Lytechinus pictus: one gene and its partner. The protein of the gene in region 2 interacts with the protein of the main gene of each other region in a biochemical or structural test. Links are inferred from orthologs where the notes say so. Each region holds a gene or a part of one and is shown on either strand. Other genes may lie near its edges.

What was found.
Region 1: the proteins of glutaredoxin-related protein 5, mitochondrial-like (region 2) and bolA-like protein DDB_G0274169 form a complex in vitro, tested with the Homo sapiens proteins (2 studies listed by BioGRID). The link is inferred for Lytechinus pictus from reciprocal best matches to the Homo sapiens genes GLRX5 and BOLA1.

What each region holds. Positions count from the first base shown.
Region 1 is NC_087262.1:22,486,567-22,490,498, reverse strand, and holds the start of bolA-like protein DDB_G0274169, read left to right. Parts: upstream 1-910; 5' UTR 911-979; coding exon 980-989; intron 990-3,932. UniProt on the Homo sapiens protein: Acts as a mitochondrial iron-sulfur (Fe-S) cluster assembly factor that facilitates (Fe-S) cluster insertion into a subset of mitochondrial proteins. Probably acts together with the monothiol glutaredoxin GLRX5. May protect cells against oxidative stress.
Region 2 is NC_087251.1:13,199,044-13,202,975, reverse strand, and holds the start of glutaredoxin-related protein 5, mitochondrial-like, read left to right. Parts: upstream 1-1,391; 5' UTR 1,392-1,402; coding exon of another isoform or gene 1,403-1,535; 5' UTR 1,536-1,944; coding exon 1,945-2,221; intron 2,222-2,971; coding exon 2,972-3,153; 3' UTR 3,154-3,932. Other genes in the region: putative OPA3-like protein CG13603, read right to left, coding at 1,403-1,535.

The DNA of each region.
Region 1 (3,932 bases), on a different chromosome or scaffold from region 2:
ACGTAATATCTCCCAGATGAATAGAACTTTCTGCGGATCGACCCCGGGGATCGACAACATTGATTATTCATATTTACATAATGTATGTAGAATCTGATTTGACTTTTATATACCCATCGTTGTTTTTATATTAATATGACTATGTTGACAAACTGTTGATCTGAGCATGTTATCCTGTATCATTAAGATATTAAAATAAATATATAAACAAAATGATGAATAAATGAATAAAATGATTAATTAATACATTCATTCATTCATTCATAAAACTTAATAGGTCTTTAGTTTCATTTTATTTATCCTTTTTATTGTTCTGAAGGACACAACCGGTCGAGCTCATTGTAAAGTGGGGAGGCAATTTCAAATACTAGGACGGGCCGCGAAATTATTTTTTCCATCGCAGTTCTGGAAGCCAATATAAATATTCATATTTTGGCTTCCAGAACAGCGGTGGGAAAAATAATTTCGCGGACGGGCCGGTGAAACGTACGGGGCGGGTTCCATGGCCACGCCCATTACATTTGCTCCGGCAACAATTGCTCCGCTCTGGATTCCACGTACACACTAATGGAATCCCCAACTTCAACCCTGGATTTAACACTAAAACCATTGCAACCCCCGGGTGCAACCCTAACCTTTTCCCCCCCTTTTTTTAAAAAAGAAATTAAGTCCGGAGCATATGTTGTGTCAGCCGGTGTCACCAACGTATGTACTGTTGACCTTCCTTTGAGTATCATATTTTTCTTATTTAATCACCTCGATTGGTGAATCCATTTGTAAATCAGATAATTTCACAAACAATATTTGTTTGCTCTCTGAAAGGAAGGTGTACTGTAACTGTTCCAATTCGCTTGCTGGATTTACTTTTGCTTTTCACTTCTTTTCTCTTCAAACTCTCAATTTCAAAGACACCATAGCAAAACTAATCGCGAAGAGGAGTTCTTCAACGTTAATCGCCAAGGAAAAGGAATTAATTTTAATGATTTCAGGTATTCATGCTCTCTTTTCATTTTCAATTTGATGATTTTTATATCCAAGGGAAATCAATGAAGTATTATTGTAATGAAATTGCCATGAATTTCTTTAGTTTAAAACTTTAACATCTCCAGACGTGATCCATGTCCCGCAAAAAAAAAATGGCTTTGCCTTTGCCTTTGGCTTTGGTCCCATGGACTGATTTTTAAGTTAGTTTAGAACTTTTGCAGGGTAGATCGTGGAGGGGGGGGGGGGGGGGGGGGGGGGGGGGGGCTCGGGGAACAGGTGTCCCCCGTGTCCTCTTCTTCCCCTCTGAGTACAAACCATTTTCTGGTGTATTATCTAGTCTTGAGGACGCAATGATGATGACTTTTAAAATAATGAAATATACTTCTTCATCATTGTCTTGACGTCTTGACACTCCCATCTGCCCATATATATAGTCGCAGAAGAGAAGGACCAAAACTAGTATAATATATACTAACCTCGTACACCGAACCGTGTTTGACCCTTGATTTCGAAGTAGTCGGCAAACATCGCTTCATTGCTGAAGTAATATTTGCCGAAACTCCTTCTCGCTACTCACCGGGGCTCTTTCCGGTAAGTAGCAATACATGATTAAAAAATTAAAAATGTAATTTGAATATAATAATCGGTCAAAAAGAGCAAATTTCGCTTACCTCGGCCTGGAAAGTAACTTCGCTTGTCTCTTCTACGGAAATACAAGGAGGCCCGTTGGTGGCGCTAATAAATTTCACAACTAAGCTTGTAACCGATTTTGCAATCGGCGACCGATTCCATTCGATTTCACCACAATCGGCAATCACTTGCCGATCTTCGATCATGCCCCTTGAAGGAAAAAATCGAAAATTAAAAATCGGCGTAGATCTGGTTACAGTGCGTGATCGCTCAGAACATATTTCAAGATTGTTTTTGAGGTGCTAGCTATTTAGAGGTCGCATTATTCAGGGAGAAAGACGCGGTATTATCTATGGCGATGTTTAAGAGGATAGATATCTTCTCTTCCAACTCATGGTGATAGCGGATGCCGCCGTGAACTTTGAAAGGTCGTATTACCGATGGAGCTCACTGCGTTACTCTCTTACATCGTTTATGATGATATACATTTTATTTTCAACCTCGTGGTGATAGCGGACCCCGCCGTGAACTTTTAAAGATCGTGCTACTGACGGAGCTCATTGCGTTACTCTCTTACATCGTTTATAATGATATAAATCTTCTCTTCAACCTCGTGGTGATAGCAGACCCCGCCATAAACTTTTAAAGACTGTACTATTGGCGGAGCTTATTGCGTTGCTCTCTTACATCATTTATGATGATATTCATTTTATTTTCAACCTCGTGGTGATAGCGGAAGCCGCCGTGAACTTTGAAAGGTCGTATTACCGACGGAGCTCACTGCGCTACTCTCTAACCCCGTTTATAATGATATAAATCTTCTCTTCAACCTCGTGGTGATAGCGGACCCCGCCATAAACTTTTAAAGACTGTACTATTGACGGAGCTTATTGCGTTACTCTCTTACATCGTTTATGATGATATACATTTTATTTTCAACCTCGTGGTGATAGCGGATGCCGCCGTGAACTTTGAAAGGTCGTATTACCGACGGAGCTCACTGCGTTACTCTCTTACATCGTTTATGATGATATACATTTTATTTTCAACCTCGTGGTGATAGCGGATGCCGCCGTGAACTTTAAAAGGTCGTATTACCGACGGAGCTCACTGCGCTACTCTCTTACCCCCTTTATAATGATATAAATCTTCTCGTCAACCTCGTGGTGATAGCGGACCCCGCCATAAACTTTTAAAGACTGTACTATTGACGGAGCTTATTGCGTTACTCTCTTACATCGTTTATGATGATATACATTTTATTTTCAACCTCGTGGTGATAGCGGATGCCGCCGTGAACTTTAAAAGGTCGTATTACCGACGGAGCTCACTGCGCTACTCTCTTACCCCCTTTATAATGATATAAATCTTCTCGTCAACCTCGTGGTGATAGCGGACCCCGCCATAAACTTTTAAAGACTGTACTATTGACGGAGCTTATTGCGTTACTCTCTTACATCGTTTATGATGATATACATTTTATTTTCAACCTCGTGGTGATAGCGGATGCCGCCGTGAACTTTGAAAGGTCGTACTATTGACGGAGCTCATTGCGTTACTCTCTTACATCGTTTATGATGATTTACATTTTATTTTCAACCTCGTGGTGATAGCGGACCCCGCCGTGAACTTTTAAAGATCGTGCTACTGACGGAGCTTATTGCGTTACTCTCTTACATCGTTTATGATGATATACATTTTATTTTCAACCTCGTGGTGATAGCGGATGCCGCCGTGAACTTTGAAAGGTCGTATTACCGACGGAGCTCACTGCGTTGCTATCTTACATCGTTTATGATGATATACATTTTATTTTCAACCTCGTGATAGCGGATGCCGCCGTGAACTTTGAAAGGTCGTACTATTGACGGAGCTCATTGCGTTACTCTCTTACATCGTTTATGATGATATACATTTTATTTTCAACCTCATGGTGATAGCGGATGCCGCCGTGAACTTTGAAAGGTCGTATTACCGACGGAGCTCACTGCGTTGCTATCTTACATCGTTTATGATGATATACATTTTATTTTCAACCTCGTGGTGATAGCGGATGCCGCCGTGAACTTTGAAAGGTCGTACTATTGACGGAGCTCATTGCGTTACTCTCTTACATCGTTTATGATGATTTACATTTTATTTTCAACCTCGTGGTGATTGCAGACCCCGCCGTGAACTTTTAAAGATCGTGCTACTGACGGAGCTGATTGCGTTACTCTCTTACATCGTTTATGATGATATACATTTTATTTTCAACCTCGTGGTGATAGCGGATGCCGCCGTGAACTTTGAAAGGTCGTATTACCGACGGAGCTCAC
Region 2 (3,932 bases):
TGCATTTTGAGGCCGTCACATGAAATGCCCTAAATTCATTATTTTTCCACCATTTTGAGTCAGATGTTTTTATGAATACCTGTCTATGTATTGCATGTGAAAAGTTCGTGCTCGTTGCGTATCTTCTTTTACTCGAATCGCGCAGATACGCGTGTGCGCAGACAAGGGGGACTGCGCAGACTTGGGAGAACTTGCCATACTAACCGTAACCTGCGCATTTACGCATCAGGAAATAGTTTCAATATGCTTAAAAGTTTCCAATATCCTTCCAAAGCTAATGACCAAAAATCACATGCAAAGAGGGGTGGGATCAGAAGCTGATATCTTTAAAAAAAGAAAAGATACTGATCTTGGCGTAAAATATTATATCTTTATTTTTTGTAGGTATATGTGTACTGATGGTGGAAGTTTGATGAATTCATGAGAAAATTTTGTTTGTAAATTGAATTTATGAAAAGTGTTACTTTGGCAATTAATACGATCCACTGACATACAGCAGACGACTCTGGATAGACTCTGCTCCAGTCAAATAATCACCTACAATGGAAGTCCTAAGTCAGTCAAAGGGGTTTTTTTTTCTTCAGATCACAATATCCAGTATTACATCCAGGACACACTTGGCCTAAGGTGGATGTAGACCCACCCAAGGGTTCATCACATGCCGCCACGCACAGAAAAATCAAGCCAAAGAAGTCGTGTGTTGTGGACCCAAGAAGTGAGATCCCAGCACGCGCGACCCACTAGTTAGAAATCCACTGCCAAACGCGGTTCGTGGTGCGAGGTTAGTATACTAATACTAACCTCGCAATACGTGTGAGTGGATGTAGACCCTAAGTGCACGTACACTAAAGGGTTAGATCAAAGTCTTATTCAAACAGATTTCCGTTCTGTGATCCCAAAACTCAATTGCCAAAAAGTCAAAACCAAAGGCAATCTATTATTATTTGATTGTTTGAGGGCGTGGCTCTACTTAACATAGAAAGAGAGGGGGAAGTTTAATTTTCAAGGTTTGATACAGTCATATTTTCACTCACACTAGTGCGAGGTTAGCATTAGTATACTAAAGCATTTTTTTTGTATTAGGCCTAGTAAGTAGTATACATTTTAATTGAAATGAAGTGATTGAACACGTCATTGAAATTTGAAGTCAATTCAAATTTCAATGACGTGTTCAATCACTCCATTTCAATCAAAATATGTATCAAACCTTAAAAATTAAACTCCCCCCTCTCTCTCTATGTTGTGTAGAGCCACGCCCTCAAACAATCAAATAATAGATCTCTCAGTCTCAATCACATTGCGTTGCATTATCGCCATATCGGCAATAAGCAATTCCATTCTGGGCTTTAGTTTATCACAGTCCCATATACTGATATTGATGTCTGATGATATTATTACTTACACTGGGCAGGAGGCATGCACACATATTTCCTCATAAATGGACTATTCCTAGCCATATTTCGAATCGCTTTGGACATGGGTTTGCTGATCTGCTTCACTGCAAGAGTTCCAAGTTTTATTATCGGGAAAACCATTTTTACAAGAAAGTTACCACCTTTTCTGACGTAAAAAAATTGCAGAACATTATCTGCCGGAACGTTTACAATAGTCTTTTTGTAGTCATTTCTAAATTTTTCTCGTACATTTTTTATTGATAAGCCAAGTCTGAAAGTATTTCAAATTAGTATCCGAGTGTTTAAATTGTAAGCTTAATTTAAAAAATAGAAAAAAATAATCATGATAAGATAACGATTAATGAGGTATGAAATAATTTTTAAAATCACATTTCCACGATACCTACGTAAATAAAAAGACTAGTTTTTACATGCCTCAGAAATTGCGTAATTTTTCATAATCTCCACTTCGTCATAAATTCTGTCTCTTTTGCTTCATTAGTTCATATTTTCATAATTACATCACCAGCTTTAATCATAGAAAAAGATCATGTCGCTGTTTACTCAAATTATTCGGCCGTCTTCGAGGCTTTTTCGTAGTTTCCAGGCGACCGGTCTTTCACTCTGCCAGCTACGATTGCTTTCATCGGAGCTGAAAGAGCGGATCGACGGGCTAGTTCAGGGGAATAAGGTGGTCGTGTTTATGAAGGGTGTTCCAGAGCAGCCGCAGTGTGGATTCAGCAATGCTGTTGTACAGATCTTGAGGATGCATGGAGTGGACAGCTATGAAAGTCATAACATCTTAGAGGATGATGACCTGCGGCAAGGTATTTAACATGGCAAATAGTAGACAGCTGGCAGCCGTCTGTTTCGAGGAGTTTTTTAACTTTTTTTTTTTTTTTTATTTCTCCTCGGTGAGTGAAGCCAACGGAGTTCAGCTGAACAACCAACATAACAGAGACCGAAGCTTTTGGTCTAGGCAAATAGTTGCTTCCCCCTTTTCCCCATTTTGTCGTCACTGTTTTTCCGTAACATGTTTTGCTTTGAGTATGTTGAGTTTGAATATTTTTATTTTCTACAAGACTGAACGTTACATTATTTACGGTAGTTAGATCTTTGTTACATATTCAAGTTTTAATGAATACCAATATAAAGATTTTTAGAAAGTTTTTAATTCTCGTATAGATACATTGACATTTGGCAATCTCTTCATTAAACTTAATTTAACTTGCAACTCATCAGTCATTAGCTCACATAAATTAAAAAAAAAGTAAAACGTTGATCGATAAAGACAGATTGATCAAATTGATATTACTCAGTCATACATGCACATGCAGTTATATTTTGGTTGAATCGATCATAACCTGATAATACTGTTGGCCTCTAAAATCCAGTCATTACAAGAAAATGTGAAAAGGAAAATTGGTCTTTTGTATTGGGATAGGGAATTTTTTGAAAAATGAGGAACAGGAATTAAATTACTGGAGACTTGGCCAAATATTTTTTTTTTCATTAGATTTTTACAATTGGATATAAATCTGCTAAAAAATATATCATCTAATTGTTCAACCACACAGGTATCAAGGAATACTCAGAATGGCCGACAATCCCTCAGATTTATTTGGATGGTGAGTTTGTAGGAGGATGTGACATCATGATTCAGATGCATCAGACAGGTGACTTGATTGATGAACTAAAGAAAGTCGGAATCAGATCAGCGTTACTCGATGCACCCAAGGAAGATGAACCATCAAAATGATACTTAAATATTTTGGAGGATACTTTTATCTTGGACAATTCATGAAAACTGGAAAATCCACTTTGAATAGTTGGAATAACAGTGATAGTATATAATCATGTTTTTTTAAAGATTTCATAACGCAGGTTACTGGTATTCATTTTACCTCTGCATGAGTGGGGGCATCTACATGTAGCTCTTAATATAGAAATATGGAAACTCGCACAAGTGTTTATAGTGATGGCACTAGAGAGTCTATGGGCATTTTGTTGCCTTAAATTTGAGCTCTAAATAAAAAATAAATAAAAAGTAATCCTTGTTAGGTCACTGAGCTTACCTTGAACATTGAGGGGGTGGGGCAAGTAATCCCTGTAGGTGTTTCTCCCACCCTGCAAAGGTAGAGCACCCCCCCCCCCTTTCATCTGTAAGGTAGTGCCAACTCGTTGGATATAGCCTAATGCTTGGTGTATTCGATTTCATAAAATTTAAACCATTAACATTGTTCATTGACACCAACAATTTGGGATTCGAGATATTATGATTGACCTTATTACAGTTCTGTGCATCAGCCCTTTATTTTCAATGTATTTTTGTTTTTAATTTGGGTATGACTCAAGTCTTGATTGATATTATATTTAGGTAACCTTTGTTTTTAGAGGCTTGTTATACTTTCATCTCTGGGGCAAAGCTAAATTAACTGATTAGCTGTCCTACTATATGCTTGCTACAGGCTCTTTCTAGACAAAGTGAGATAATGGATTTCATCATGTGAAGTGATAAATGGAACATGTATATTATGA